Linked DNA regions of Pelodiscus sinensis. The protein of the gene in region 3 purifies or fractionates together with the protein of the main gene of each other region. This does not show direct contact. Links are inferred from orthologs where the notes say so. Each region holds a gene or a part of one and is shown on either strand. Other genes may lie near its edges.

Evidence for each region.
Region 1: the proteins of SF3A2 (region 3) and RBM17 purify together in Homo sapiens (affinity purification with mass spectrometry; 4 studies listed by BioGRID and IntAct, counting the BioPlex papers as one, with this or other methods). This does not show direct contact. The link is inferred for Pelodiscus sinensis from reciprocal best matches to the Homo sapiens genes SF3A2 and RBM17.
Region 2: the proteins of SF3A2 (region 3) and ZC3H18 purify together in Homo sapiens (affinity purification with mass spectrometry; 3 studies listed by BioGRID and IntAct, with this or other methods). This does not show direct contact. The link is inferred for Pelodiscus sinensis from reciprocal best matches to the Homo sapiens genes SF3A2 and ZC3H18.
Region 4: the proteins of SF3A2 (region 3) and SNRPB2 purify together in Homo sapiens (affinity purification with mass spectrometry; 6 studies listed by BioGRID and IntAct, with this or other methods). This does not show direct contact. The link is inferred for Pelodiscus sinensis from reciprocal best matches to the Homo sapiens genes SF3A2 and SNRPB2.

The regions. Positions count from the first base shown.
Region 1 is NC_134711.1:8,475,081-8,483,266, reverse strand, and holds the start of RBM17 (splicing factor 45), read right to left. Parts: upstream 3,043-8,186; 5' UTR 2,956-3,042; coding exon 2,837-2,955; exon of another isoform or gene 2,771-2,836; intron 1-2,770. UniProt on the Homo sapiens protein: Splice factor that binds to the single-stranded 3'AG at the exon/intron border and promotes its utilization in the second catalytic step. Involved in the regulation of alternative splicing and the utilization of cryptic splice sites.
Region 2 is NC_134722.1:3,918,750-3,926,822, forward strand, and holds the start of ZC3H18 (zinc finger CCCH domain-containing protein 18), read right to left. Parts: upstream 3,212-8,073; 5' UTR 3,083-3,211; intron 2,730-3,082; exon of another isoform or gene 2,613-2,729; intron 1-2,612.
Region 3 is NC_134729.1:27,235,444-27,243,195, forward strand, and holds the start of SF3A2 (splicing factor 3A subunit 2), read right to left. Parts: upstream 3,064-7,752; 5' UTR 2,907-3,063; intron 1-2,906. Other genes in the region: PLEKHJ1 (pleckstrin homology domain-containing family J member 1), read left to right, coding at 3,155-3,248, 5,109-5,176, 7,174-7,240. UniProt on the Homo sapiens protein: Component of the 17S U2 SnRNP complex of the spliceosome, a large ribonucleoprotein complex that removes introns from transcribed pre-mRNAs.
Region 4 is NC_134713.1:180,790,974-180,798,751, forward strand, and holds the start of SNRPB2 (U2 small nuclear ribonucleoprotein B''), read left to right. Parts: upstream 1-4,478; 5' UTR 4,479-4,621; intron 4,622-4,856; exon of another isoform or gene 4,857-5,282; intron 5,283-5,376; 5' UTR 5,377-5,400; coding exon 5,401-5,464; intron 5,465-7,778. UniProt on the Homo sapiens protein: Involved in pre-mRNA splicing as component of the spliceosome. Associated with sn-RNP U2, where it contributes to the binding of stem loop IV of U2 snRNA.

The DNA.
Region 1 (8,186 bases), on a different chromosome or scaffold from region 3:
TGGGAAAACTGCATGGATCAGTACACTAGCAGTGCCATGGATGAGCCTTACCACCATTGTGATCATAGTATCACTCCTCCAAAGTAAGAATGTGAGCAAAAACATATTAACTTCATTGATTTATAGTCAGGACTATCACCCAACATACTTAGCTTCATGTTAATTCTGATCAATTGCTCCTAGCAATCTGATCAAACAGACTGGGACTCTTAGCCATGGTGATATTGTTACACAGCTCACTAGAAGTAGCAAGCCCTTTGAAATATATAAACTAGACGTTATACAGTAAATCAAAGATGATGTACCAAATTTCACTACACATACAAAACTGATTTCAGAGGCAGGTCAACTGGGGTAGAGAATAAGGATGTTAAGTAACGATTAATTGACTAGTCGAATAGTTGATGGAATTGTCGATAGGCACTTCTGCATTCCTCCTCTGAAATGTACAAGAGCCCCCGCTGGGGCTCTTCTACATTTCAAAGGAGGAATGCGGAAATCCTCATGCAGCCTGGAGACAGCGGGAAGTCACGCTGACTCCAGGCTATGCCAGCTTTGAAATGTACAAGAGTCCCCAGTGGGGGGCTCTTGTGCCTTTCAAATTGGCAGTGCAGCATGGAGCCTGGAGTCTGACCCCGGGCTCCATGCTGTACTACCAATTTGAAATGCCATGCAGCTGGGGACTCCCTAGCTGACTGCAGGTTCCACACAGCATTTCCTGAGAACCCGGGATCAGCTGGGGAGTCCCCAGCTGATCCCAGGCTTCACACAATACAGCGCACAGCCGATCCTGGGCTCAGCTATGCAGCACTGCCCCTTTGAACGCCGCCTCAGCTATCTGATAGAGGCAGGAAGAGGGGGAAATCAATGAGTTGACTAACTATCCAAAAAGCATTTGCTTATTGGACAGTCAACTAGTCCTTAACATCCCTAGTAGGGAATACTACATAAAAATAGAAGGAAGTTTTGTCCACTGAGGCTAGTGTTACTCATTGTACTGCAAGTATCAGAAGGGTAGCTATTAGCCTATATCTGCAAAAACAAAATGAGGCCTGTGGCACCTTAAAGACTAACAGTTTATTTGGGCATAAATAACTTCCTATATGCCCTTGCCCACAAAAGCTTATACCCAAATAGACGTTAGGCTTTAAGATGCCACTGGAACCCCTCATTGTTGATTATACTGCAGTAGCCCCCAAAAGCCACCATCAGGATCATTAGTCCATGTGTAAACAGAACCAGCGATGACCCTTGCCTACGGGCTCTGCAACACGTAACACCAGTAGTGAGAACACGAGTGGTGGGACAGCAAGAGTGACAAATTCCAGTTCTGATGAGGGACACAGGCACTAGTATCTGAACAAAGCTCACAAGGCCTTGGTCACTGAAGGCTTTGCATTAAGGTGCATGAATTATACAGAGCTGAATCAATACCCTAACCCAGTGGTTCCCAACCTGTGGTCTGCAGACCCCGGGGGGTTCACAGCGATACTGTAAGGGGTCTGCATGGAACTCCTCACAGACAGTACGTCCTACAACCCACACAGCTTCCCCAGTGGGCTCAGGGACGCCACTCAGGAAGGAGCATGGGCTGAAGGACATGCAGGCACAGATATATTGTTTGGGGGGGGGGGAGGGGTCCGTAAATTTTTAATAGATTGAAAAGTGGTCTGGGTCCTCGAAAAGATTGGGTGCCACTGCCCTAGTCTGTGGCTTGAATCCACAGTGACAATGGCATTCAGTTCCACTCCTGCAGCCCTGGACCACAAGCTGTCACTGCCAGAACAGCAGCCAAGCACCCCACCTGAATAGATCCAGCCATCCCCAGTATCCCCAGAACAGGCCTGGCCCTGGAAGTGGCTGGCAGAGCAGCCCTTCAAGCCTGACATCCCCGGATCCCTTCTAAGCTTCATAAGTAGCCTACCCATCCCCCAGCTGCCAGGGCCCAGTGCCTCCCCACAATCAAAAGCCCAGTCCCCCATAACCCTCCTCATTTACCCAACAACCCACGAGTGGAGCCACCCCACAACCCTCCTAAACTACCCCATAACCCCGAAGTATCCCATGTCATCCCCCCTCACCCGCCATCAATCCCAAGCAGCCCTGAGGATGGTCCCGACCCCATGAGCCTCGCACCACATCCCCAGCAGCCCCTAAACTGGCCCTGCCCCCATGAACCTCCCATCCTACCCCCAGCAGCACACAAGTTGGCCCTGCCACCCTATAACCCCCCCCCCCCAAACTGGCCCAGTCCCCCATGAACCCCCCCCTCCACGAGCTGGCCCAGCCTCCCCATTGCTCCCCCCCGGCTCCCCCCCCCCGAGAGCTGCTTCCCCTCCCCCCCGGCTGCCCCCCCATCTCCGCTCCCCCCCGGCTCCCCTCCCCCTGCGAGCTGCTCCCCCCGAAAGCTGCTTCCCCTCCCCCCTGGCTGCCCCCCCAACTCCGCTCCCCCCCCCCGGCTCCCCCCCGAGAGCTGCTTCCCCTCCCCCCCGGCTGCCCCCCCACCTCCACTCCCCCCCAGCTCCCCCCCCCGAGAGCTGCTTCCCCTCCCCCCCGGCTGCCCCCCCAACTCCGCTCCCCCCCCCGGCTCCCCCCCGAGAGCTGCTTCCCCTCCCCCCCGGCTGCCCCCCCACCTCCGCTCCCCCCCAGCTCCCCCCCCGAGAGCTGCTTCCCCTCCCCCCCGGCTGCCCCCCCACCTCCGCTCCCCTCCCCCCACGAGCTGGCCCAGCCCCCAGGGTTCCCGCCAGTCAAGTTCAGGCCCTGCCCCCACCCCCGGCTTGGGGCCTCCGGCCGCGGCCTGGCGCTTGGTCCGCGGTGGGCGCCGGGCCCCGCTCACCCCGCCAGCGAGCCGCCGCTGAAGAGGCAGGGAACGGCCGTGTGGCGCCCGGCGCCGCCGAACTCCTCCGCTGCGCGAACCTTGTACGCAAACTGCGTAAACGCCGCACCACAGGTCATTGGGGGAGGGGAGGGGGGAGCTACGCAAACTCCGTAACGTGAAAGCTGCCGGCTACGCAGCGCCGCGAGAGCTCCGCAGAAGCAGCGCGGGAAACGGGGAGGAGCGACCCGAAGCGCTGTCCTGCGCAAGCGTCGTACGTCAGGGGCGGTGTTCCACCAATGACGTAGCAAGACCATAGAGAGCGCCGCCACAGGCACCGGCCCGCTGCTGACCCCTAGCGTCAGCTCCCTGAGCTTGCCCTGCAGAAGGGAAACCCCCAGAAGTTGGTCCCAATAAAGATATTAAGTCCCCCAGTTTGTCTCTCTAATCATGTTCCTGCAGGAGAAGATCTATGAGCGGGAGAGAGAAGAGGAACCATAGGCTCAGAGTAATTAACAGTACAGTTGTGACTAGGAGTTTAATTACAAAGAGGCTTCCCAAACCTTCAACATATTAAACACCAGGGCTGTCTACGTTGGCATCCTTTCAAGTAGGAATAAGGGATCTTCTGGAAAAGGGTTTATTTTCCACACTATCGCGTCTAGACTGGTGCTTTTCTCCGGCAAAACCCCGAGCTGGAAAAAAGCAGCAGCCATGTTCATGCAAATGCCACGGGGGATATTTAAATCCCTGCAGAATTTGCAATTCCGGAGTGTCTCATTAGCATCCCTTTTCCGGAAAAGGGTGCCAATGAAGACGTAACCCAGGGCTGTGTCTAGACTGGCAAGTTTTTCCGCAAAAAGCTGTCTACACTGGCCACTTGAATTTCCGCAAGAACACTGACTTCCTACTGTCTGAAATCAGTGCTTCTTGCAAAAATACTATGCTGCTCCCGTTCGGGCAAAAGTGCTTTTGCACAAAGCTTTTGCGCAAAAGGGCAGTGTAGACAGCTCAGATTTGTTTTGCGCAAAAAAGCCCTCATCGTGAAAATGGCGATCGGGGCTTTTTTGCAGAAAAGTGCGTCTAGATTGGCACGGACGCTTTTCCGCAAAAAGTGCTTTTTTGGAAAAGTGTCCGTTGCAATCTAGACGCGCTTTTCCGCAAATGCTTTTAATGGAAAACTTTTCCGTTAAAAGCATTTGCGGAAAATCATGCCAGTTTACGCGTAGCCCAGGACTGTGCCTCACCCATTGTCATACAGGCCTTGCCAGCGTGACTCCAGGTCCTAGGATATGACTGGTTCAAAAATCCTGGAACCTGCTTTCACAGTGACACAAGAAGCTCCTCCAGGGCAGCAGAAGACAAGGAGTGTCAGGGAAGTGCTGCCCAGGCTTAGGGCGGTGAGGTTGTATCTACATGGCACCGTAACTCAAAATAAGATACGCAATTTGAGCTACGCAAAATGCATATCTTATTTCCATGCTATTTCAGAATACAGCATGATTCCGAAACGTCCCTTACTCCTGGTAGAAAGAGGTTTATAGGAACGTCAGAATAGTGAGCCTATGAACATACCAGGCTTTCTGTGAAGATGCGGAATAGCTATTTTGGGATACTCCGCTATCCCAAAATAGCGTTGCAGTGTAGATGTAGCTTGAGTGGGGGCCTGGGGAAGTGCTGCTGAGCCCTGGACAGACCATGATTTTTGATCCCTTGAAATGGACAATACAGGTGACCCCTAATGTACGACCTCCCGACTCAGGACACCTCGCATAGACGACTGCCCTGCTCCAGCCCTGCTCCTGCACAGTGAGCCACAGAGTCAGCCAGTTGCCCACAGCCCTGACGGGCACTGGGCACAACTCACACCACGCCACTGGCTCCAGGACACGTGAAGCCGCCTCCACCCGGACAGCTCTGGGAGCAGCTTGCAAGCTTGCACAGTGCTGTCTCCACACAGCATAGCCCCCAGCTGGCTCTAGGAGCAGCTCGCACCGTGCTGCCTCCACCCAACATAGTCCTTGGCACTGGCTCTGGGACACGTGGAGCCACCTCCACTTGGCACAACCCCTGGCTGTCTCTGGGCCTGGCGTGCTGGGGACTACAACTCCCAGGAGGCAAAGCGGGCCAGGAACGGACCCCCCCCCCCATTTATATCATTGTGCCTCTGGGAAATAAGGGTTCGACTTACAACAGCTCAACTTACGATGGTTCGCCAGGAACCAATTAGGTTGTAAATATGAGAGTCGCCTGTACTGCAAACATCCCTTTTTTTCCAGGCCCTGTTGGTTGTTTGATCCTGATTTTTGTATCTACCCACTGGCAAACTGGCTACCTAAAAGAGCCACTGAGCAGCTAAGCTAGCAACTCTGGGGCCCTTCCACTAGGATTCTCATGTGTGGGAATCTTGCTGCTGTCTCCATTTCCAAGCCCCCAGTGCTCTGCAATCAATTCCTAGAGCCATCCCTCTCCCACACACATAGCTAATCCATTGGAATACTAGCAAAAGTGGCGGGGCAGGAGGAGGCTGCCGTGCTGTGAAGGAAAAACTGCATTTCACCCTCTGATGCAGACTTCCTTGAGACTGACCAAACTACACCCTTAGTTACGCCCCATGGCAGATGCCCTGGGTTTCAGTTTGCAGATCTGGGAGGCAGGAGTAGCTTGGTGATCTCAGCAGCAACACAATGATACAGAAGTGATTCCCTGTGCTCCTTATCCTACTCTTCCTTTTTCACCTTGTGCAATATTCTGCACCAGCAGTGTGGGGGGAATCAAGCTTTTTGTGCATGTAAAGCACATGGGTGTTATGTCATCTGTTAGTGGCTGGCCCACAGGAAGGACAAGGGCCTTACTTTTACAGCTAGCAAGGGGAGATGTCCTTGAATAGACAGGTCTGTGTTTTTGGAGAAGACCTTGAGCCTTGTTCAGCTGAACTGGTATGTGTGATTTGTCTTGCACTGGTGTGGTGGTGCTTGCTAAAGGTGGATTCGTTACAAGCTTCCACCCAGTTTAATAAATGCGTGGTGCAAAACTCATTGGGATCACAAATATACCTTGCACAATATTATCTCAAAAACTCCCTGGGATGAAAAAGGTGTCCAAAAAAGATGTACAATGTCTGCCTCCAGCCAGGGATGGATATAGGGCAGGGCGAACGGGGCAGCCGCCCCAGGCCCCGCGCTTCAGAAAGCCCCGCGCATGCGCTGTGGCAAAGGGGGGGCCCCGCGGAATTATGCTGCCCGGGGCCCCGCAAAACAGTCATCTGCCCCTGCCTCCAGCTTTGACTTCTCAGGCCAGCTAATGAGAGGAAAATAGCTTCAGTCTTTGAAAAGGGAACAAAACCATATTTTTAAGTCACTGGAATGAATAAAAACAAAATAAATTCTGTTCCTTGTTTTCTCTTGGGTTTTTTAAAATAATATTTTATTGTAATATAATATCCCCCAACTCATCTTAGGGATGCTTGAAAAATGAAGACATACTAAATGTCGTAGCTTCTTCAAACTCATTTGAGAAGAATTCTTTGAGTACTGAGGGAGAGAAACTATGCCCAGAATATCTTTGTACAGGGGTGGATTGTGGGGTCATGGATCAGAACAAGTGGGGGCGTCTTCCACCTGTACTTGGAAGCCCCTGTACCTCAACCCTGTTCCCCAGCAGGAACGCCAGGTGGGTGGGTGGGTGCCCATTTTTCCAGGGGTCCTCCAACTGACCAAGGCAACTGGGCACAGGCCCCATTATTCCACTGGTTAATCTACCCCTGTCTTCACAATATAGAATACATGAACCCATCCTTGTTTGTGCTATCAGCAGGTTTTCTTTTAAACAGCATCTAGTAAGTTCTTCAATCTATTTTTCAACACAAGCACACATAGGAACACCTGTTACACTATTTCAAACTATATAGAGTAGGTTTTGGCCTTACTCCGACATGGTTCTGTAACTTTGCCACGTGGTCTTATTTTGGGCCTAATCCAAAACCCACTGAACTCAACTGGAAACTTCCCAGTAACTCAGATGAGCACTGGAGCATGTCTCAGGTATGTGTTATATGAAACAGTATCAAATTACATTGGGGTATTACATAAGAACATAAGACCGGCCATACTGAGTCAGACCAAAGGTCCATCTAGCTCAGTATCCTGTCTGCCGAAACTGGCCAATGCCTGATGCCCCAGAGGGAGTGAACAGAACAGGGAATCTTCAAGTAATCCCTCTCCTGTAACCATTCCCAGCCTCTGACAGAGGCTAGGGACACCATTCCTATCCATCCTGGCTAATATCCATTGATGGACCTAACCTCCATGAATTTATCTAGTTCTTTCTTGGACCCTGTTAAAGTCCTGGTCTTCACAACCTCCTCTGGCAAGGAGTTCCACAGGCCAACCGTGCGCTGAGTGAAGAAAAACTTCCTTTTGTTTGTTTTAAACCTGCTACTTATTAATGTCATATGGTGACCCCTAATTCTTATATTGTGGGTACAAGTAAATAACTTTGCCTTATTCACTTTTTCCCTACCAGTTACGAATTTATAGACTTACAAGCTGGTTCCCCCCAGCACCGTCTCTGCGGGGATGGAGGGGGGGAGGGCGGGGAGGCAGAGGCGCAGTGGTGGAAATGGTGTGAGCAGGGCCTGAAGCAGTCTCCACTCACCTGGGGTCCCGACTGCTGCGCCTCATCCTTTGAAATGTACAAGAGCCTGCAGTGGCTCTTGTACATTTCAAAGGCAGAGGTGCAGCAGGATAGCAAGTGCCCCCCTTATTGACTAATCAAGTAGTCAATGGAAATTCCATCGACTATTCGATTAGCCAATTAATCGAAATTTAACATCCCTCAAGGGACAGCACCCCTTTGTACCTGACACAGTGAGGAGTCACCCTGAGTTGAGGCGACAAGTGCCAAGAAAAGACCCAAGACGTGACCCACTCAAGGAGAGAGGAGAAGCTGCTCCAAATGCTGGCAACAACAAGCACCTGGGAGAGAAAAGGAAGGAAGGAAGCTTAAGCCAAACATCAGGGAGGGGGTCACATTCATGTTTTGTCCATTTATTGCCAATGTCACAGATCGGTCTTGTTTTGAAGCTTGCTTCACCCTGTGGCTGGCTCGTTGTTCATCTGTGTATTTTGCTTCCCTGTTTCTTTGCAGTTTGTGCTCGGAGTGACTGATAATGCCTTTTATTTCAAGCATGACACCACCTTGTGGTGCAGCCACGGGTTGCTCCAGCCTGGTTACTACCAGTCCCACACGTGACTGCCAACACCCAGCCCACATGGGGTTGGAAACAGCAGCCAGGGGCGGGGCACAGTGGGGCTGGAGCTCCCGGTTACCATGAAGGTTGGTGGTTAGTGGGTGACCGGTTAACTGTGTA
Region 2 (8,073 bases), on a different chromosome or scaffold from region 3:
CTCACTGCAAGACATTTAAGTGATACTAATTTTTATAGTAAGTAAAATGGATCTGCTTACTGAGGAGAGGTGAAAAAGGCAGTCAGTTCACATTTATCCCACTTAGGTTTACTTTAACATAACAAATAGAAATGTTTACAAAAAAATCCCAAAAATATTGTGCTGCACTTTTGAATGTTAAACATAGCACTGGAGCTAGACATGAGAAATTCCACAATGAAAGTAGTTAGAAATGGAAACCAATGCCATAAGAAAAAACAGCTTAACTAGTGAAGAGATTTTACATTTCCCCCCACTTTATTAAAGTAAAGTACTGTTGCTAACATAAGGATGTTCTTTTTAAAAAATGATTTTTAACCCGGTAATCTCTCCAACTTCCACAAGGCAACAGAGCCTAGATTAGAACTCAGGAAATCTAAACTTCTGGTCCTGTGCTAAAGACCACGCTCAACTTCTGCCGCCTGTTAAAGTAACACTGTCAAAGGGGTACGGGTAATAACTTTTACTGGATCAGCTTCAGTTGGTCAGACAGACAAGCTGTCGAGCTTCAGAGGTCAGCTTGTCTTTGATCAACAGAAGTTGAGTCCAATAAAAGATATTATCACACCGACCTTACCTCTAATATCTTGGGACCTGCATACAATACTACATTTTGTTTTGATTTTTAATGCAAGGGACTATTCACAATGGGAAGCTTACCTGGATAGAGAGTTAGATCAGAGTACTGTCTGTGACTTCACAAGTAGGCTGTTATGATGCGTGAGAAGCTTATACTTAATAAATGGTTGAGGAAAACTAAGTATAGGACTCTCATGCAATCTGTGGTTTGTGCCCTGCTTTTTTAAACAGTCTGCCCTAAGGTTGCTACTCATGCTCTTCAGTTACTGCAGGACATCTTGACAGATACACCCAACACAAAGGTTGGATTCCGACTAACACTATTGACATCATTGTATGGAGTTAACAGCAAATTAAGAGAAAGAGTCTAGAGTGAAAATAAAAGCACTGGAATTTAAAGTGAGTTAGCATTCTGGGCTCAGGGGCCTTGACAATACTTTTTACAGGAAATAGGGCTAAATTCAGTCCTCTCTTACTCTAGGCAAATCCTAGTGGAATCAACAGGAGCTGTGCACATGACTCGAAGGGCAGAATCCAGTTATAACAAAGATGTTTTAAAGACAGAGATTTGTGTTTCTTCTTTGGACAAGCTGTCTTAAAATAGGGTGTTAATCCAAATCTGTCTCTAGAACTCTTTCTACAGAAGGAAAATCCCACTATTTGACGAGTATTTCACAGAAACTAGTTAACAGGTACAAGTGTTTAAGTAGTACATTCAATTAAATCTACAGAAAGTTAAGCTCTGTCTGCAACAAGAAACTGACCAATTGCAGAAAACAATCTGTTTGCAGCAAGTCCACTGACCTGGTGCTGAAAACAGCAACTTGCTGCCATCAGAATGCTTTCTGTAACCATGCTGAAAATAGTTGTGTCCTAGATACACAAATATCTATTTAAACAAAGGTTTGAAAAATACAGTCTCCCAGGACTAACAGAAAAGCTTTCTTGGGCAAATGTAAATAATTTCCACAGAACCCAACCTTTCATTATAAAAAAAAAGGGGGAGGGGGAGGGAGGGTGCTTAACCATTATGACTGAAAAGAAAACCTTTCCAATATGAACAAAGTGTAAGCCCTTAAAGTAATGTCTTCCTCAGCTCTAGTATCTCTGCAACTGCAAAGAGCTGTCCAAACTACAGCAAAGCAGAAACTGCCCAGGGTATTGGCAATCTCAAAGCTGGAATTTCATGAGCAATCAGTGAGATAGGTCAATTTGATACTGGAGATGTCAGAAAGCTCTGAGCAGCAGAGGAAAACTCAAGAGAGCAGGAACCTTCCTCATAAAATGGAAGTTGAGCAAGAAACAGTTAGAAGACATCCCTCCCCACTGGAGCTCGGAGGTTATGGGAGAGCTAGCTTCCTGGCTGCTGAAAGAATTGTTCGAGGTCTCTTCTAGTCTACTTCTACCTATTCTTGGGCCATGGAAAGCTTTTCTAGTACTGAACCTGTGGAATTCCCATTTTGAACTATTGGACATCAGGTTAGCTACAGAGAATAAATGAATTCATTAAGCTTATGAAGCACATTCACATTAATAATTAGATTTTAGAGTTAAATTCTGTTAAAATAAATTGAACAAGATAGGTAGTAAGAGTTTATGATTGGAAGAGGTTAAGATCTCTTCCTTACTCCAGACAAACCCCATGAGAATCAGGAGAAAGAATTCACACTCTAGGTCTTGGTATATGTGACTGCATTCACTTGATGATTACCTGTTCTGTTCATTTCCTCTGGAGCACCAGGCATTGGCCACTGGCAGAAGACAAGATACTGGGTTAGCTGGACCTTAGGTATGACCCAGTCTGGCAGTTCTTATGAAACAACCTAGCAGGGTGTGGATGTATTGCAAAGACTACTTTTCTAAGCAAAAGGGTTAGCGCATCTAATTTCTGAGTTCAGAAATACAACACACATGTTCCTAATATGCAAAACCCATCCTATAACAAATCCCCATATGCAATTTCAATAGCAGTGACAAAAAAACCAAGCACGCACCGGTTCGGATGCAGAACATTATCCATTAAAAGCCCAGAGCGCGGCACCTGCGTTTCCAAGCGTGTTCCCCGGACTGTCCTGAAAGGTCTCCCCCCCCTCGCTCCCTGCACCTATCAGAACCCGCACGAGCTGTGCAGTTTAAATAGCCCATGATCCCCCATGGATCTACCGGGGGCAGGCAGCGCAGACCCCCCCCCCCCGGGCTCAGCCCACAACAGCCCCAGCCAGGGGCAGGCCAGTCTGCTCCCCTCGCTTCGGGGGGGGGGGGGCTCCAGCACGTTCACCCCAGAGGGCGTCCCCCTCCAGCCCCCCCGGGGAGGGGCCGCATCCCACCCGGTGCTGCTCCACCCCCGGGGGAAGGGCCCCCCCGAGCCACACCCCTCCCCCCAGCGGGGCCCCCATGTGGGGCCCGCCCCGCGCCAAGGGCCCAGCCCCTCCCTGGAGCCCCCCCCCGCCCGCCGGCTGCTCACCTGGGCGGGGGCGGGCGGCTCGCGCGGGGCGGGGGAGGGGGCGGCGGCGCCTCCGAGGCGGGTGGGGGAGGCGGCTCCGGCTCGCGGCGCGGGACGGGGCCTCTACGCGCGGCGGCGGCGCGGGGCGGCCATTGTGTGACATCATCGGTACGCGACAGCCTCTCGCGGCGGGGCGCCCCCGCCCGCCCGGCCGGCCTTAAAGGGGCCGCGGCTGCGTGTCGCGCGGGGGGGGGTAGCAGGGGTGTGTCTGTCTGTGTGTGTGTGAAAGAGAGAGAGAAAGGGGTGTGTGTGTGTGTGTGAAAGGTGTGTGTGTGTGTGAGAGAGAGAGTGTGTGTGTGTGAGAAAGGGGTGGGTGTGAAAGAGGGGTGTGTGTGTGAGAAAGGGGTGTGTGTGTGTGTCTGTGTGAAAGGGGTGTGTGTGTGTGTGTGTGTGAAAGGGGTGTGTGTGTGTGAGAAAGGGGTGTGTGTGTGTGTCTGTGTGAAAGGGGTGTGTGTGTGTGTGTGTGTGAAAGGGGTGTGTGTGTGTGTGAAAGGGGTGTGTGTGTGTGTGTGTGTGTGTGAAAGGGGTGTGTGTGTGTGTGAAAGGGGTGTGTGTGTGTGTGTGAAAGAGAGAGAGAAAGGGGTGTGTGTGTGTGTGTGTGAAAGGGGTGTGTGTGTGTGTGTGTGAAAGGGGTGTGTGTGAGAGAGAGAGAGAGAGTGTGTGTGTGTGAGAAAGGGGTGGGTGTGAAAGAGGGGTGTGTGTGTGTGTGTGAAAGGTGTGTGTGTGTGTGTGTGTGTGTGTGAAAGGTGTGTGTGTGTGTGTGTGAAAGGTGTGTGTGTGTGTGTGTGTGTCTGTGTGAAAGGGGTGTGTGTGTGTGTGTCTGTGTGAAAGGGGTGTGTGTGTGTGTGAAAGGGGTGTGTGTGTGTGTGTGAGAGAGAGAGAGTGTGTGTGTGTGAGAAAGGGGTGGGTGTGTGTGAAAGGGGTGGGTGTGTGTGTGTGTGTGTGAAAGGGGTGGGTGTGTGTGTGTGTGTGTGAAAGGGGTGTGTGTGTGTGTGAAAGGGGTGTGTGTGTGTGTGAGAGAGAGAGAGAGTGTGTGTGTGTGAGAAAGGGGTGGGTGTGAAAGAGGGGTGTGTGTGTGTGTGTGTGTGAAAGGGGTGTGTGTGTGTGTGTGTGTGTGTCTGTGTGAAAGGGGTGTGTGTGTGTGTGTGTGAAAGGGGTGTGTGTGTGTGTGTGTGTGTGTGTGTGTGTGTGTGTGTGTGTGTGATAGAGTCCCAGGGCGGGCAGAGCCCTCTGGAGTCCAGTCCCCTGCCCAAGGCAGGACCAACCCCAACTCCATCAGCCCAGCCAGGGCTCCGCTAAGCCTGGACTGAAACACCTCTAGAGATGGAGACTCTGCCCCCGCCCTAGGGAACCCATCCCAGCGCTTCCCCACCCGCCTAGGGAAAGAGTTTCTTCTAATCTCCAACCTAGACTCCCCCATTGCAACTTGAGCCCATTGCTCCTCGTTCTGCCCCCACTGAGAACAGCCTCTCTCCATCCTCTTTGGAACCTCCCTTCGGGTAGTTGCAGGCTGCTCTCAAATCCCCCCTCACGCTTCGCTTCTGCAGACTAAACAAACCCAAGTCCCTCAGTCTCCCCTCGTAGGTCATGTGCTCCAGCCCCCTCATCATTTTGGTTGCCCTCTGCTGAACCCTCTCCAATGTGTCCACATCCTTTCTATAGTTGGGGGTCCAGAACAGGACGAAATACTCCAGATGTGGCCTCACCAGAGCTGAATAAAGGGGAATAATCACTTCTCTGGATCTGCTGGCAATGCTCCTCCTAATGCACCCCAATATGCCATTAGCCCTCTTGGCTACAAGGGCCCCCTGTTGACTCATATCCAGCTTCTCATCCACTGTAACCCCAGGTCCTTTTCGGCTGAACTGCTACTTAGCCAGTCGGTCCTCAGCCTGTAACAAGGCTTGGGATTCTTCCGTCCCAAATGCAGGACTCTACACTTGTCCTTGTTGAACCTCATCAGATTTTTTTTTTTTGGCCTAATCCTCTAATCTGTCTAGGTCACTTTGGACCCTATCCCTACCCTTCAGCATATCTACCTCTCCCCCTAGCTTAGTGTCATCTGCAAACTTGCTGAGGGTGCAATCCATCCCCTCATCCAGATCATTAATAAAGATGTTGAACAAAACCAGTCCTAGAACAGATCGTTGGGGCACGCCGCTAGAAACCAACTGCCAACCTGACATCGAGCCGTTGATCACTACCCATTGAGCCCGACAGTCTAACCAGCTTTCTATCCATTTTACAGTCCATTTATCCAATCCATAATCCCTTAATTTACTGGCAAGAATATTGTGGGAGGCCGTATCAAAAGCTTTGCTAAAGTCAAGGTATATCACATCCACTGACCTTTCCATATCCACAGAGCCAGTTACCTCATCTTAGAAGCTAATCAAATTGTAGGTTGTATGTCTCTGTGGGTATGTCTACACTACAGCACTAATTCGAACTAACGGATCCAGACTAAAAAACTAGTTTGAATTAGCGTTTTGCTAATTCGAACTAGCATGTCCACATTAAGTGGACCCTGAACCGGGGTTAAGGATGGCTGGAAGCAGTGCCGGCAGGGCATCAGATGAGGACTTAGAGCGTGGAGCTGCTGCCTCAGGCTAGCCGAGGGCTGTGCTTAAAGGGACCTGACCCCTACCCTGGACAGACAGTTCTCAGGGGTGCCCTGCTTGCAAAGCAGTCCTGGCTTGGAGTGCCCGGAGTACCCACACTGGGCACATCACAGCACTCGGCCATCATACCGGCTGCACTTCTGGGGAGAGGTTCCACCCCCAGAAGCCCGCAGAGCCAGCCCAGTCCTCCCCATTGGGGGCTCGTACCCCATTCCTCCCTCACCTCTTTCCACTTACCCTTCCCTAGCCCCCCTTCCTGATGTACAAAATAAAGAAAACGTGTGGTCAAAAATAGAATCTCTCTTTATTGAACAAAACTCGGGGAGACTGGGAAAAGGAGGTGGGAGAGGGGAAGAGAGAGGGTGGGAAAGGGGAGGGCAACTAAAATGATCAGAGATTTGGAACAGGTCCCATATGAAGAGAGGCTAAAAAGACTAGGACTTTTCAGTTTAGAAAAGAGGAGACTGAGGGGGGATAGGATAGAGGTCTCTAAAAGCATGAGTGGGGTGGAGAGGGTGCATCAAGAAAAGTTCTTCATTAGTTCCCATAATAGAAGGACTAGAGGACACCAAAGGAAAGGAATGGGTAGCAGGCTTCAAACTAGTAACAGAAAGTTGTTCTTCACAAAGCAAAGAGTCAACCTGTGGAACTCCTTGCTGCAGGAGGCTGTGAAGGCTAGAACTAGAACAGAGTTTAAAGAGAAGTGAGATCAAGTCATGGAGGTTGGGTCCATGGAGTGGTATTAGCCAGGGGGTAGGAGTGCTGTCCCTGGCCTCTGTTTGTGGAAGGCTGGAGAGGGATGGCACGAGACAAATGGCTTGGTCACTGTCTTTGGTCCATCCCCTCCAGGGTCCCTAGGGTTGGCCGTTGTCGGCAGACAGGCTAGTGGGCTAGATGGACCTTTGGTCTGACCCAGTACGGCCATTGTAAGCTCAGGGCTCAGGGTCGGGGGTCTCAGTGGACAACCTTGATTTTCATGCAAACCTGCTACTGGGTGGCCAGGCTGGCAGCTCTCCTGCCCTAGACGGGCACTTTTCTGTGCCTAGTGCGGAGGTCGTGGACGAGGTCCATGATGTCCGCACTAGACCAGGCGGGTGCCCGCCACTTGCGGTCCCGGGCAAGCTCCCGGGAGCCGCCAGCCTGGTCCCGGGAAGAGGGGGAGGGCTGGGGGGCATCGGGTGGCTGGCTCGAGCCGTGCCAGGTGCAGGGTCTGCTGGCTTGGTGCTGGCAGGCTTGCACCTGGCACGGGCACCGTAGCCAGCCCGTGCCCCTTTAATGGGTCCGGGGCCGGGAGGGGGGCATACGAGTTTCCCTGGTGTTGGCCACAGTGGCCACCAGGGAAAGCTGGGGAGGGCTAGCCTCCCACTAGTTCGAATTAAGGGTCTACACAGCCCTTAATTCAAACTAGTAAGTTCGAACTAGGCTTAGTCCTCGTAGAATGAGGTTTACCTAGTTCGAACTAAGTGCTCCACTAGTTCCAATTAAGTTCAAACTAGCGGAGCGCTAGTGTAGCGCCTATCAAAGTTAATTCGAACTAACATCTGTTAGTTCGAATTAACTTTGTAGTGTAGACATACCCTGTGTGTGTATGTATGTATATAGGGGAAGGTTGTATGTTTAGATGTGTATGGATGCATGTTATGGGGTGCCAGACTTTTTGGGTGTGTGCTGGGAGGGGAAGGCAGGGTGTGTGTGATCTATTTATTCATGCACAGAGGGACACACCACACACAGCCCACATGACTGTACCCTGCATCTTGTCCTCTGGCCAGATTGCTCAGTGCTGCACAACACACTGCCATGCCGTTCCACCCTGTTCCCCTCACCATCCACTGAACTGCAAGACAAAGTGAAGCTCAAATGCATAGGAGTAAATATAGCACTGGAACCCAATGCTTAAACAGCACATCCACAGGTGCCAGGGGCACACAGAATGGGTGTCTGATCTCAGAGGTCCAGAGTAGAAGTCTGGGTGCATTCCGACGTTCAGTAATGTATACTGTATATTGACTTTCAAGGATGTTAAAACAAAAAGAGACCAAGAGAAATGCGGAGTGAAAGTTCAATGCAATTATTAAGCAAGGAATCCAGATCCCCCTTACTCTGCCCCTGTCACGATAGTTCTGGGAAAGTTGAAAAGGCAACCTCTTTCCGGAAGACAGAGCTTCACTGTTATTGATCTCAAAGCCGAGATGGTTTCAGCCGCAGTTGTATAATGGTGGGCCAGCTTTCCCATCGGGCACATCATGCAAACAAGGATTTTACAAATTCCTGAGTAGACAAATCACCCTCCATTCATCATTAATGTCCTGACCAAGCCAGGTGCTAAGG
Region 3 (7,752 bases):
ATACAATAGTCTGGAAGGTTGAGAGCCACTGTTTTCAAGTTTCAGAAGGGTAGCCATGTTAGTCTGTTTAGCAAAAACCATGAGGCATCTTTAAGGTACCACAGGAGTCCTCGTAGTTTTTGCTGATTTAAAGGTTGCTCTATGTCACTCATTAGCAAACTGATTGTAGAGATGGCCTAATGGAAGCAGTTAAGTGTTGAAATTCAACAGAGTCACTTTCTCTTCTGTCATCTTCAAAGTATAGATTCCAGAGCAGATTTTGAATAAGGTAGTAATCAATTCTCCTGCTACCAAATTTCCAAATATATGCTAACTGGGCATCTCTCACCTGACCCACCCCCCAAGTTTTGTGCCCTAATTTCTTCTGTAGCCAGCATCCTATCTCTCATGGCAATAGACCGAGTCTCACAAGAAGCACACTGGTTACTATGCAGAGGCAGGGATACAGGATCACATTCAGCACTTTCACAGAAACAGCACTACCGTACCGAACACAATGGTTTGACCACGGCCTTTGGCAGTTTCACAGGTGATTTCATTTTCCTGGCTACTTTCACATATTTTTCTCTATTACAAGATTATGCATTTTTGCCTGGGATATTTAATACACTCACAATTGAGGTAACAATATTTGAAAGTTAACAGTCAATTAGTGGGCACGTCTATGGTCCAGATCTATGTTGTAGAAGTTGGACAGGTAACGCCATTTGAAATTCAATTATAAATTAGGGATGTAAAATCCCATTTAATTGGTTAACCAGTTAAACATTATGTTTAACTGGATAAGCACATAAAGGGAGTGCAGCGGGCTGGAACAGCACCCCAATGCAGGCAGGGGCTTCTCTGGCTGGGCTAACACAGCCCTTGCCTGTGGCACTCCCTGGGTCCGCTGCAGACGGGTGATCCACCTGGAAAAAGTAAGATGCTACACTTCACCCCAGTGATGCTTACTGGTTAACCTTTCATTTACCCAATACAAGTCACCAATTATTTGCTGTAAGTTCTGTATCTTGAACTGCCTCGTAAAATATTTTATACAAAAAACAACAAATGATATAAGAATTAATTAATAATCATAATAAACAGAAAAATACCGGACATCAACTATAAGCAAGTTGGGCAGAAACCACGTCTTCAGAAGTGTCTGTACAGAGGTGCTGCTTGAAGGGCCAAAGCACTGGTTGTGAGAGGGGCCTCAGGGAACAACTGCACTATAACGTAACAGTCATAACTAATAGCAGTTTACTGTTCACATTGCACCAATGAAGATGCTTATTTTCGAGCTGTGTAAGTGGCCACAGACATGTTAAAAGCACAGAGCTATCTAGGATTTTCAAAACATGGCACTGCCTCTACGTGGGATGCTCAGATCTGTTCCCGGAAGCCATGTCTGGAAGCTGCATCAGGTGCTACCTCATGCTTCGGAGAACAGTCACAAGTCCTGAGTGGCATTTTCAAGACAGAGGCTGGACTGGGGGCAGAGGCTGCTGTGGGCGTGGGGAAGGGATGCTGATTCTCTCTGAAAGTCAGACGCTAACGTGACCTCATATAGAATCCTAGAACTGGAAGAGACTTCAAAAGACTTCATCAAGTCCAGTCTCCTGCCCTCAGTGCAGGACCAATCACTATCTAGATCATCCCTAACAGGTGTTTGTCTAACCTGCTCTTAAATATCTTCAGAGATGGAGATTCCACAACCTCCCCAGGCAATTTATTCCAGTGTTTAACCAGCCTGACAGGTAGAAAGTTTTTCCTTATGTCCAACCTAAACCGCCCTTGCTGCAGTTTAAGCCCATTGCTTCTTGTCCTATCCTCAGAGGCCAAGGAGAACAATTTTTCTTCCTCCTCCTTGTAACACCCTTTTAGATACCTGAAAACTGCTATCATGTCCCCTCTCAGTCTTCCCTTTTCCAAACTAAACAAGCCTAATTCTTTCAATCTTCCCTCGTAGCTTGTATGTTCTAGACCTTTAATCATTTTTCTTGCTCTTCTCCGGACCTTCTCCAATTTCTCCACATCTTTCTTGAAATGCGGTGCCCAGAACTGGACACAATACTCCAGTTGAGGCCTAATCAGCGCAGAGTAGAGTGGAAGAATGATTCTTGTGTCTTGCTCTCAACACTCCTGTTCATGTTTGTTTGTTTTTGTTTTTTTTTGCAAGTGTCACACTTTGACTCATGTTTAACTTGTTGTCCACTATGACCCTTAGATTCCTTTCTGCAGTACTAATCCTTAAACAGTTGCTTCCCATTCTGCATGTATGAAACTGATTGTTCCTTCCTAATGGAGCACTTTGCATTTGTCCTAATTCAACTTCATCCCGTTTTCCTCAGACCATTTCTCTAGTTCGTCCAGATCATTTTCAGTTATGACCCTGTCCTCCAAAGCAGCTGAAACCCCTCCCAGCTTGGTATCATCTGCAAACATAATAAGCGTCCTGGCTATGCCAATATCTAAATCGTTGACGAAGGCATGTAACAGAATCGGTCCCAAAACAGACACCTGCGGAGCCCTGCTTGCGGAACAACCAAACTCTGCCAAACCCCAGGCACCTCTCCAGTTCAATGAGGGAACAAGCTTTGCACTAACACTCTACTGTCCTTAAGCCCCAACACAGGACTGGGCTCTGCTGTCACAGCACTGCAGGCTCGTCGGCCCCTCAGAATAATCCCCGCCCCGCAAGAAACCTCAGAGCCCCCCTGACCCCGCCACCTGAGCCCAGCAAGGCCTGGAGCCCCCCCCCCCCCCCCGGCCCAGCAAGGCCTGGAGCCCCCCCCCCCAGTCCAACTGCCCCCGGCCCAGCAAGGCCTGGAGCCCTCCTCCCCACTCCAACCCCCCCTCCGGCCCAGCAAGGCCTGGAGCCCCACTCCGACCCAGCAAGGCCTAAGGCACCCCCGGCCACGCACCTCACCAGCGCTCGCGGCTCCCCTCAGGCCGGCCCGCGACTGCGCACGCGCAACTCTCTCTCAGGGCGGAGGAGGCGCTTCCGGCTTCCGCGCGGCCAAGCATTTCCGGTTCGCCGGATGGGAGGGTCACGCGCGACGAAAGGCTTCCGGGCCGGGCGCTTCCGCGTTGGGGGCGGGGAGCGGCGGTTGGCGGCTCGCGCGCGGCGGGATGCGGCGGCTGTAGGGGCGCGCGGGGGCGGGGCCTCGCCATGCGCTACAACGAGCGCGAGCTGCTGGCCCTGGCCCGGCAGCCGGCCGAGAAGGCGGCGGAGATTCTCATGCGCGTGCCCAAGAAGGGCAGCGGTGAGGGGCGGCGGGGGCGGGGCGTATGAGGGCAGGGGGCGGGGCTGGAGGCGGGGTGTGTGAGGGGAGGGGGCGGGGCGTATTTGTGGGACTGGAGAGGGGAGGGGTCGGAGCGTGTGGGGGGGGCAGGATGTATGGGGATAGAATGGGGCCGGGGTGGGTCGGGTGTATGGGGTGGGGGAGGGGCGGGGCATATGTGGGAGGAGCTAGGGTGGGTCGGGGGCGGGGCGTATGGGGATAGAGTGGGGGTGGGGGAGGGGCGGGGCATATGTGGGAGGAGCTAGGGTGGATCGGGGGCGGGGCGTATGGGGATAGAGAGGGGGTGGGGCAGGGGCGGGGCATATGTGGGAGGAGCTAGGGTGGGGCAGGGGCGGGGCATATGTGGGAGGAGCTAGGGTGGGGCATATGTGGGAGGAGCTAGGGTGGGGCAGGGTGTATGGGGATAGAGTGGGGGTGGGGCAGGGGCGGGGCATATGTGGGAGGAGCTAGGGTGGGGCAGGGTGTATGGGGATAGAGTGGGGGTGGGGTGTACAGGCACTCAGGAGGGCCGGGGGAGGGTTCTATTGTGGGGCATGAGGCTCAGCTTCTTCCACTCAGGAGCCAGCTACTCCCACACCTTCCCCATTCCCCCCCCCCCCCCAACTTCAATCTGGCTCTTTGTCCTGCCTCTGTTGAGCTCCCTGCCCTGTCCCCTTCCCTGTGGGATGAGCAGGGACCACGTTGGCACTTTCTCAAAGAGGCGGTAGCTCCACTCCTGCATTCTCCTCCCCAGCGCTGGTGAGGTGGTGTATGGCACTGAGCTACCACCCTTTGTCCGCAAAGTGGCTGCCTTCCTGTGGTGGGGGATGGCATGTACAATGCACTGGTAGACCCCTACGCAGATATAAAATTGGTATCTGTATTGGCAAAAAGATGGTGGGAGATCTGCAACCACAGCTGCGGCCGCAGAGAGCTGCCACCTTGCAGGGTTTGAAGCAGCTTTCTATCCACAAAAACAAGACATGGATAGCGGCAGCCATATTCAGGGATGTGGATACCTGTGAATTTGCATTGGGATCGTACCAGCCAGGAGGTGCTACAAGAAGCATGTGTGGTTAAAGTTTTATAGGTCATCAGTGAAAGCTTAGCCAAGGCTGGCACACCTAGGATAGAATTGAGTTGCTTGAGAGGTCATCAAATTGCTGTTCAGCCTAGAATCATAGTGCTATGAACCAGTAAGAATGAAAGGTGCCTGCACCTTCCTTTGTGCGACAGGTCCAGTTTTCCATCCTACAGCTGAATGTTCCCTCTAATATTTTCTATCCTTAAGCAAAATAAATTTTGTATGCAGCAAAGCATGTACCAATGTGCACTACCAGGCCGAGACACAAGGGCTGTGGCTACACAGGCACGATCTTGCGTAAAAACTTGCTGCCTATCTACAGTGGTCACGTGTTCTTACGCAAATAAACTGATGTTCTAATGTATAAAATCAGGGCTGCTTGCGCCAGAACTCTGACGCTCCTGCTCAGGAATAAGCCCTCTTGCGCAAGAGCTCTTCCAGAAGAGGCCAGTGTAGACAGGCAACATGAATTTCCTGGGCAAGAAAGCCCTATAGTTAAAATGGCTCTCAGAGCTTTCGTGCGGAAGAGAGCATCTACACTGGCATGGATGCTCTTGTGCAAAAGCACATGCCAGTGTAGACGCTCTCTTCTGGAAGAGTTTTTGCATAAGAACGCGCCAGTGTAGATAGAGCCAAGCTGACAGCTCTGGATGCTCTGCTAAGCAGCTGGGCGGAGTATGAATCACTCCAAAGCACTCAGCTAACAGGGAACACTGCCACAGACCTCCGCTTCTGAATGCTGTCTCTCTTCTTTGCAGTGCTGAAGAAACGCCTAGTGAAGCTAGTTGTCAACTTTCTCTTCTACTTCCGCATAGATGAAGGAGAGGTATAAAAATAACTTGCTTCTGCAAACTGGCTTTATGAACTTGTTAGAGCTGTTGTAGAAAAACATATTAATAAGGCAGGTTCTATACCAAAGGGCCTAAAAACCAACCAAGAGCAGACTGCCGTTGTGCTAAGCTCTGTACTATCACAGAATCGTAGATGGTCCATGCCCTGAAACACTTACCGGTGAAGTAGTCACACTGCACTGTTTAGCTAGTGGTGTTTGAGGAACACAATGAAGCCTCTGCTTGGCGACGCTGAGAAGCAACTGCTGTCCTGCCCAGCCCTGGCTATCAGTCTAGGGGTGATCTCTGAAACCTAATCATTGCCACACTTACACGCATGGCTGCAATTCATTTATGTGAAACTAGTGAGATTGATTTTAAATTTAGACTAAGGCCCTAGCTAAATCTCAGTAAATAATAACTGTATCATTGCTTTTGAGCAAGATCTGGCAGTGTAAAAAAAAACCCCCAAAGCATTGTAATCGCTGTATTTTATCAATATTCCTTACTTGGACCTATAAGTATGCAAGCGTATTGTCTGGTTGTTGTAGCAGAGGAATGCGAGCTGGAGCCCACTGGTTCCAGAAAAGACTTTTGATCTGTCTTGGCCTTTGTTTCTCATCCTTAACAATAAAACTCACTTGCACTGTGATTGGACAGAAGATGCAGGATGAGCATGGCATGGTACTGCTGTGGCTACGCCATTTAACAGACTTGAAGAGAAGGTGCTTTCGGTGGTGTTTGTAGTGATCAGAAATACATGTGACCCTAAGGATCCTTGCACTCCCTTTGCAGAATATTTCTTCTCTCCTCCTTGTCTCCTCTGACAGTCATGATCATAGGATCTGGCCAAGAAGATGCCACACTTCACAGTCTCTTTGGGGTGATTATGAAATCATGTTAGAGCTTTGACCGCATGAGACTAGAGACCATTCCCAGTAGCAGATTTCTCTCCACTCCTGCTTACACGAGTTTGGCTGTTTTGGCTAATTTTCCTGGCAGTTAGAGACTATAAAATATTTCCCTTTGTGTTTAGCAGTAAGTGGTCCAAAAATAGTTTGGAAGCTTAGAATAGTATGTGCTGACGGGATACTTAGTCAAATAACACCTCTTAACACTGAGTTGTTCTTAAAAAAAGTCTGTGGTCTCTATTCTATTTGTTTGTCTCTTGCAGTTCATTTCGGACAAAGAAAAGAACCCTTTCTCTGGTTTTCATGCCTTAGCTCAGTGCACCCATAAATGACTCGCAAATTCTGCAGGTGAAATTTGTTTGTTTAAAATGAACTGTTTTAAAAAAACCGAATGCAGGGACAGATTTCATTAGACTTCTGCAAAGCTTCAAGCATGTTCTTTTCCAGACCTAAGTTTGGATTTCTGTTTGTGCTGTGCCTTCCAGCCAAACTTGATGTGCAGACTAGATTCTAGAGAACTTTTACCACCTTTGCCTCTTTTTGTGCAGATCACTGAGCTATTTATTAACTCTCCAGAGTTGTACTGAGCAAATACAGATGTCCAAAGCACTGTGTAAATACTAATCAACACAAAATATTTGTACAGTGAAGTATGACAGCAGAGACAAAGAAATTGGCTACCTAAAAACCGCTCTGTTTTCAACCCTCTCAGTTCTCGCCAGGTTATGACGTCTGCCCTAAAGTCCGTCCCCTGGTAGTTTGTGGCTTATCAGGATCTTCCTATCATTAAAAATATTTTTGTCTTCTTGAGCTGCCGTGAAAGACCCACTGTAGCAAACAATACATGGGAACCAGTGAAAGAGCTGTGACTAGCAAGATAGTGCACAAGAACTCAAATAGCTTAGGGAATGTCGTTTCTGCTCTAGCCTCTTGGCACTGTTGTCTCTCTCTTTCACGAGTCACTCACTGCGGCCCCCACGTCAGTCCCCGTGTTCCCTTTCCCGCCACAATGTCTCACATGTGTAGAACTGGCTGAACAAGGGGAGGGGTGTCTTAACCCTTCTCTGTGGGTTTCTTTCTAGCCAATTGGAGCTTTGCTGTTGGAGCACTGCAGAGTCACCAAAGAAGAGGAGAATGTCTTTTCGATCAGTGAGTTGTGGGAGAAGATTCTCATGGGTGTATCCTCCTCTCGGTTTCCCTTTTCAGTCAAGTAGCAGAAGGGCAAGGGGAATGTTTCTAGAGTCAGATCCTGCACCATACTGTGTGGAGTGTCCTGTCTCACGTGGGGCGGGGCAGTATGGGAAAAGGGAGACGCATAAGAAAAATTCTTGGGTGTTGTAAGAAGTGATGCTACAAAATCAATAGCCACCCTCTTCCCTCCCTGTGCTGCATCATTGACGCCTCCTGGCGTAATGATTGTGCTGCTGAAGGGTTGGTCTCGTCATGTAGGTATGAAAACCAGCCCCCCAGCACGGGAAGGTCCTGGACCATATTTTGGTGGTGTCAAGGTGCTAGCTCTGGTGCTCTGGACAAAACTGTGTTTTCTGCCTCTTGGCTCCCCTTTGTAGGGTTTTCAGTAGTCTGTTCTTTACTTGCTGCCCTCAGTTTCAGCACAGTGGGGCTGCGAGCTACGCAGCTGCTGCGCTCAGCCCCAGAGGTGG
Region 4 (7,778 bases), on a different chromosome or scaffold from region 3:
CAGGTGTCCCCAAGTCAGCCGCTGCTGATACTGATCAGCGGCTGATTCCAGGAAGCCGGGGCAGAGCAACTCTGCCTCTGGCTTCCTGTAGTCAGCCGCTGGTCAGTTTCAGCAGCGGCTGACTTGGGGACGCCTGGGGCAGAGCAGCTGGGGTGCTGCCGGTTTGGTCCAGTAGCGCCGAGGAGCGGCGCTGCGGGACCAACCTGGCAGCACCCCAGCTGCTCTACCCTAGGCGTCGTCGGCAAGAAAAGCCTGGTCTTGCAGGGGGAGGTGCACTAGCTGCGCCCCCCCCAGCAGACCAGGGAGACGCGGGTAGCGGGACCGCCGAGACGCACCGCGGTCCCGCCCGCATCCTCCGCGGCTTTGCTCCGCGTCTCCCTGGTCTGCTGTGGGGGGGCTCCCTGTTTAACTATATACAACATGAGTGTGTCGAACAAAAAAGTCCAAAAGCAAGATAAATATATGATGCAATGTGTAATCCAGAATTTAAAGCCTACCTGCTATTTTTGAAATATGTTTTGGATTACATGAACAAATTCAATGCTCTCTTTCAAAGCAAATCTCCACTCATTCATTGCATTAAACCAGAGTCAGTGAAACTTTTCAAAGTACAGGCAGTCCCCGACTTATGTCGGATCCGACTTATGTCGGATCCACAGTTACGAACGGGGCTTTTCTCACCCCGGAGGACGGGAGCGGCGGGACGCCCAGATGCGCCGCGGTCCCGCCGCTCGCGTCCTCCGGGGCGAGAAAAGCTGCTCCGCGTCTCCCTGGTGTGCTGGTTTAGTGCAATGAATGAGTGGAGATTTGCTTTGAAAGAGAGCATTGAATTTGTTCATGTAATCCAAAACATATTTCAAAAATAGCAGGTAGGCTTTAAATTCTGGATTACACATTGCATCATAAATTTCTCTTGCTTTTGGACTTTTTTGATCGACACACTCAAGTTGTATACAGGCAGTCCCCGGGTTACGTACAAGATAGGGACTGTAGGTTTGTTCTTAAGCTAAATCTGTATGTAAGTCGGAACTGGAGTCCAGATTCAGCCGCTGCTGAAACTGACCGCCAGTTCTGACTGACATACAGATTCAACTTAAGAACCCCAAGTCAGTTGCTGCTGAAACTGATCAGCCGCTGATTCCAGGAAGCCCAGGGCAGAGCAACTGTGCCTCGGGCTTCCTGTAGTCAGCGCTGGTCAGTTTCAGCAGCGGCTGACTTGGGGACGCCTGGGGCAGAGCAGCTTGGGTGCTGCTGGGTTGCTCCAGTAGCGCCGCTCCTTGGCGCTACTGGACCAACCCAGCAGCACCCCAGCTGCTCTGCCCCAGGCGTCCTGATTCAGCCGCTGCTGAAACTGACCAGCAGCGGCTGAATCAGGACGCCTCGGGCAGAGCAGCTGGGGTGCTGCCGGGTTGGTCCAGTAGTGCCCAGAGCGACGCTGCGGGACCAACCGGCAGCGCCCCAGCTGCTCTGGCCCCAGGGTCCACAACAAAAGCCTGGTCTGCTGGGGGGGGGCACACTAGCTGCGCCCCCCCCCCCCCCCAGCAGACCAGGGACACGGGGAGCAAAGCCGCAGCGGCGGGGTTCCTCGCCTCTGAGGCTTTGCTCTGGCGCGGGACCCGCCGCTGCTGCGGCTTTGCTACCGGTGCCCCTGGTCTGTTGGAGACGGTCCCCAGCAGACCAGGGGCACCAGGAGCAGCTTTTCTTGCCCTGGAGGTCGAGGTGGCGGACCACTGCCTGCGAGCTCCGGGGCGAGAAAGCCCCGTTCGTAAGTGCGGATCCGACATAAGTCGGATCCGCGTAAGTCGGAGACTGCCTGTATAGTTAAACAGGGCATCCCACAACACTAATATTCTATATACACAAGAGTGTACAGCTAACCACCTTGTATAACTTGGTTTTAACATAGATAAACATACCTTTCATTATTAAGAACATACCTAGAAACAGCTCTACTATGTCAGACCAAAACTCCATTAGCACAGTATCCTGTCTTCTGATAGTGGCCAATACCAGGTGCCCCCAAAGGAAATGAAAAGAACAGATGATCATCAAGTGATCCCTCTCTCATTTCCCATTCCTAGCTTCTGGCAAAGACTAGGGAGCTATTGATGGACCTATCCTCCATTATTTTATCTAGGTCTTTTTTGAACCCTGTTATAATCTTTTCACAACATCCTCTGGCAAGGAGTTTCATAGGTTGGCTGTGCATTATGTAAAGAAGTATTCCCTTTTGTTTTAAAGCTGCTATTATTTTAATTTGGTAACCCTTAGTTCTTCTGCAAATAGTTGTTTAATTCCCTTTTTCCATACTAGTCGGCTACGTCTACACTGGCCCCTTTTCCGGAAGGGGCATGTAAATTTCACCAGTCGTCATAGGGAAATCCGCGGGGGATTTAAATATCCCCCGCGGCATTTAAATAAAAATGTCCGCCGCTTTTTTCCGGCTTTTAAAAAAGCCGGAAAAGAGCGTCTACACTGGCCCCGATCCTCCGGAAAAGGGCACTTTTTCCGGAGGATCGGGGCCAGTCTAGACGCTCTTTTCCGGCTTTTTTAAAAGCCGGAAAAAAGCGGCGGACATTTTTATTTAAATGCCGCGGGGGATATTTAAATCCCCCGCGGATTTCCCTACGACGACTCGTGAAATTTACATGCCCCTTCCGGAAGAGGGGCCAGTGTAGACGTAGCCGTCATGTTTTTATAGACCTCTATCATATCCCCCCCGTCATCTTTTTTTCCAAGCTGAAAAGTCAGTCTAATTAATCTCTCCTTGTATAGAAGATGTTACATACCCCTAATAATTTTTTTGCCCTTTTCTGAACTTTTTCCAATGCCAAGATACCTTTTGGGAGATGAGGTGACCATCTCTGCCTGCAGTATTCAAGATGTGGGTGTACCATGAATATGTATAGCAGCAATAAAATACTGTCTTATTCTCTATCCCTTTCTTAATGATTCCTAACATTTTGGTTGCTTTTTTGACTGCTTTTTTCACTGGGTGGATGTTTTCAGAAACTTAATAACCTTATTAACAAAGATTCATAGCAAAGCAACCCATAACAGTATCACCATCCCACAAAGATTTCACATCTCTCCCCAGGTGAGGTTTCCACCCCAATCAGCTCCTGGTTCCTGAAGAACAAAGAACAAGCGGCCCCTGCACATGTGGAAAAGGAGGCTACATGGCCAGACCAGGGATCCCATGCGATAGAGGCAGTCCCTCAGGGAGAGGGAGGCACTGTGCAGTGGTGGGGCACTGGGTGGCTGATAGAAAGTAAGTGACCATGCAGGCACTGAGCATGAGCAAGTGCCTGTCCTGTCTGGGAGCCATGCTGGGCTCAGGGACTACCCAGAAACAAGAGCGCCCATGCAGGAGGGGATGTGCATGCCGCTGCCCCTTTAAGCGCAATTAGTGAGAGCTGCTGCCTGGGCGAGAGGAAGGGGTGTTGGCTCCAAGAGGGGTGAATTTATGAGGTGCCAACCCATGGGTGGGCAGTGACAGAAACCACATGCCACTAGAAGCTGGCCCCAGCCAGCAAAGCTCCAGTGCAGCCGCCTATGCGCTCTGCGCGGGGGGAGATAGGGAGGAGGCTGCTGCTGCGGCGGCGTTGCACAAGGAGCAGTGACAGTGCATGGACTCGGTCAATTCTTTCCGCAAGCTGGTATCCCCATCAAGTAGTGAAATATCCAGCAGGGCTTTTTGGGACATTTCACTACTTGATGGGGACACAGAGACAGAGTATTTAAAATCAGGACAGTGTCAGAAAATCCGGGACGTATGATCAGTGTATACATCCAGCACTCCCACTAAAACACCACAGCATGGTATCAGCATTTTTCAAAGCATTACAGGAACTTGCTCTTGTTCACCCAGGCCCTTTCCTGACTGTTCTTCCACACCTGGTTGCTGTTTGTGTCCAAATGGGATTCTCTACAGGCCCCTATGCAGGAATTTCTGTGGGGGTGTATGCTTTGTTTGTAAATGTGGGCCACAAGGGTGTGGATATGCCCCCGTGTTTCCCAAGTAAGCGGGGAAATCAGCTCCAGCCTTCCCTTGGCTAGCCAGAGCATGGGGCAGCAACCCGCTGCTGCCTTCCTCTGGCCAGCCAGAGCATGCTTCTATGGGGTACCTGCTTTTTGCACCCTTCGCACCCTCCCCCCCCCGCATAGGGGCCTGCTCTAGGGCACTGCCCCACCAACTGGCGTGACAGCGCTGGCTCAGAGCCTTTGGGAAGAAGGGCAGGGGATGGCCGAGGCACAACAGCATCTGGGCAAGGACCAGAAACACGAAAATCACCCGGGGAAGAGCCTGGGCCGGCAGGAGGCCTCCTGTTGGCCCTGACGGAAGCGGTTCGGACGTGCTGCACCTAAGCCCGGCCCACAACTCTATGCAGTGAGTGAGACACGTGGGGCAACACGGGGACCGCTCGGCCTTCCACTCCCGACCTGGTAAGGCGGCGGCGCAGGCGTGCTAGAGGAAGGAACGCGCGAGGGAGAAGAGCTCATCGATGATTGGGCGCGCGATATATCGATTGTGCGAGAGATCGACTCTTGTCGTCTGCGTGTTCGGATGAGGTCACGCCAGCGCGCGGCTTGGTGCGGCGCTGAGACCGGTGGGAGCAGGGTGAGGGACTGGCCGCTGCGGCCCCGGGGCACCCAGCAGCGCTAAGCCCGCTGGGGGGCGGGGGAGCTCGCCTGGGTTCGCTTGGGGCTGGCCCCTAATGCCCATGGGCTGCGGGGGGGGGCCGTTGCAGCGGTGGGGGCGCTGGGTGGCTGAAGGAGGCCGCTGTTGGGGAGGGTGTCGGGGGCTGCGGTTGGCTTTGTGGGGGGGGGGGGGAGGGTGATGTGAGGGCCTCGCTGTTTACACGACGAGTTTGAACACGACGGAGCGTTATTGCTGAGGGGCAGTCCAGGGATTACGGGACATCTCTTGTCCACACGCAGCTTGGTGCTTTCTCGGCGGCTCCTCCCTCCCAGGAGATGGCCCTTTGTGGGCACATGGCCGTGTGTGGCTTTAGAGGGGTAGCAGCCCTGTTAGTCGGTAACGCTGAAAACAGCGAGTAGTCCCTCGCTCCCAAATATATATGGTATCCTGAGCTTTCATGGGCAAAACCCGCTTCGTGCCCACGGAAGCTCTTGATGCTATACGTATTTTTATTAGTCTTTAAGGGCTACTTGTTTTTCATATATGGTTTTAAAACCCCCATGTGATAGAAAGGGCTTCCTTTTTGCTGTGGAGCGAGGCAGTTCTGATACCATTTTATATAGCCTGATGTTGGCAACAGGTATTTGATCTAAACTAACAAAAACTCAATCTGTTATTAAGAATTCATCCTCATAAATGGAAAGTATTTTAATAGATTGTGCTTGTTTTTCTAGGCTGTTGTGTAAGCAAGTTAGAAGATGGATATCAGACCAAACCATACTGTTTACATCAATAATATCAATGACAAAATTAAAAAAGAAGGTATGGTTAAATTAAAGTTTGTATTTTTTTATCAGCATGTTGTGAAAACTCAGTAAAAGTATGGTATTCTGTCTTCAAGAGATATAGTCTAGACCAGCGTTTTCCAAAGTGTGGTCCACGGCCCAGTACCAGTCCTTAGGAAAAATTATTGCACACAATCTTATTAATTTGTGTGACGGGTAGCAGCACTCTGCACTGCCGAGTGAGGCGGCGTGGCCCTCTTGGGAGAGACCCACCGCCGTGGTATCTGCTGGGCATGCTCCCGGGCGGTGGGGCTAGATCTGACAGGTGCTAGGACCCAGGGAGAAAGCCGGGCACACCGATGCGGAATGCCAGACGCAGCCGGGGAAGCCGGCACCGGCCAATGAAGCAGCTGAGATTGGGGCCGGAGGGGGCGGAACAATCTGCCGGGTACACCGAGTCAGAATACCCGGCACCGGATGCAGCTGAGGGAGCCGGTGCCAGTCGATTAAAGTGGCTGTGATTGGGGCCGGAGCGGTGGAACAACCTACCGGACAGGTAGGGCCAGTGACACAATTTATTTGCATATTCATCATTTGCTTAATGAATATGCAAATATGTTACCAGTCCTCCAAAAGCTTGTGAATGGGTTTACTGGTCCCCAGTAGCAAAAAGATTGGGAACCACTGGTCTAGACATAAAACGTAGGCGTGTTTGTGGTATGGCTAGCCCAATGGAATCCCAATTACAGATGTTAGCCTATAGATGTGTAAACGATTAAGTCTAGGTTTATCAGTTCATCCAAATGACTACATGCAGCACCCCCTCCCTGCATCCAATCAAAGTGCTACTATGATTCAGTCAGGTACACCTCACAAATTATAACTAAGAACAGTTAAAAAAACTACCCTATCCAGAGAGATCATCTTAGTGGGCCACAAGATTGTTGTAACTGACATGGAGGACCACTCATGCAGCCCATTTGCTAGACTAGATGCCCATTGGTGACCTAACCACTATCTGCTCTTAGCATCAACTAGTCTTGTTTGGGCCTGCTGTTGCTCAGCTTTCTGAACTCAGAAGCTTCTGGTAGTACAAGCACTAACTTCCAGTGCCGCTGCAATCCTCTCCCTCGCCTCTATCAAGGCCTTGGTCCCACTGTACATGAGGATTGGTGGCCACCATATCCAAGTCCTTGGAATATTACCACAAATTAGACACTGCAGGGAAGTCAGGAGGACTGCAGGCCAAATCTAGACTGCCAGATGCTTTTGAACAGACCCATATATCCTATTGGGTATTTTTTTAATGTCTGGAATCTGAACCTCAGCTATATCTTGACCAAGAAATTTGGACCTTGACAAAAAATAATTTCCTGCCTCAGTCTAGCCTCTTAACCACTGCATACTCACAAAATTACAGAGCCTGCTGTACCTCAGGGAACAGAATTATACACCAGCTTGTAAAATTCAACAGAGCACCATTATCATGTTTAACTCCACAGCCTTAGATCAGTTGTACTGGTGACCCCTATCATAGAGCAAGCTTCTGTGTGTGCACCTCCCTCCTTATAAATTAAAAATACTTTTAAAAATATTTAATACTATTCTAAATGCTGGAGGCATAACTGGGTTTGGGAGTGGAGATTGAGAGGTCACGACTACCAGTTTGAGATCTCTTGCCCTGGATATAATGAAAACAAGAATAAATATCAGAGAACAAATTTGAGTAATAGTAAACATATTGGAAATGGTTACTTATAAAACAAAATCATGATTTTTTTTCTAGAGATTAAGCTAAGAGTTATTCTTATCTAAAGAAACTGATGTTATCCAGGATTCTCCAGCATTTTTAGCTAAGCATACTTGACACCTGTATTTCATAGAACAAGAATGTTGTTCGTTTTCGTGCTCAGTGAAGGATGCATTGGTGTCTTTTCTGCCCCAACAATAAAGCATCCCTTTGTGTTTCTCTTCCTTTTAGTTTTTCTGAAATTTCTCACTTTCCTTCATTTGTATTCAGTAGTATTGTGGCCATCTCTGTCCCAGGAAAAACGAGGGGAGTGAATGACTGCAGAAGCACAGTCAGGAAAGTTTAACTGAAATTCTTTCCCAATGGACTATATTATTACTGAGGATCAGTCTGCATTCTGATATATTTGCTTTCCACCACCAACTCTTTGTATAACTTTTCATGAGTAGAGTACCTGAATAATTGGTTGCTAATATCTAAACCAGAGGTGGGCAATAATTTTAGAAGGAGGGCCACTTCACAAATTTTTGAAGTGGCTCTGGGCCACCCCAGAAGGTGGCAGGGTGTTCACCGGCTGGATCAACCCACTCAGAGAAAGGAT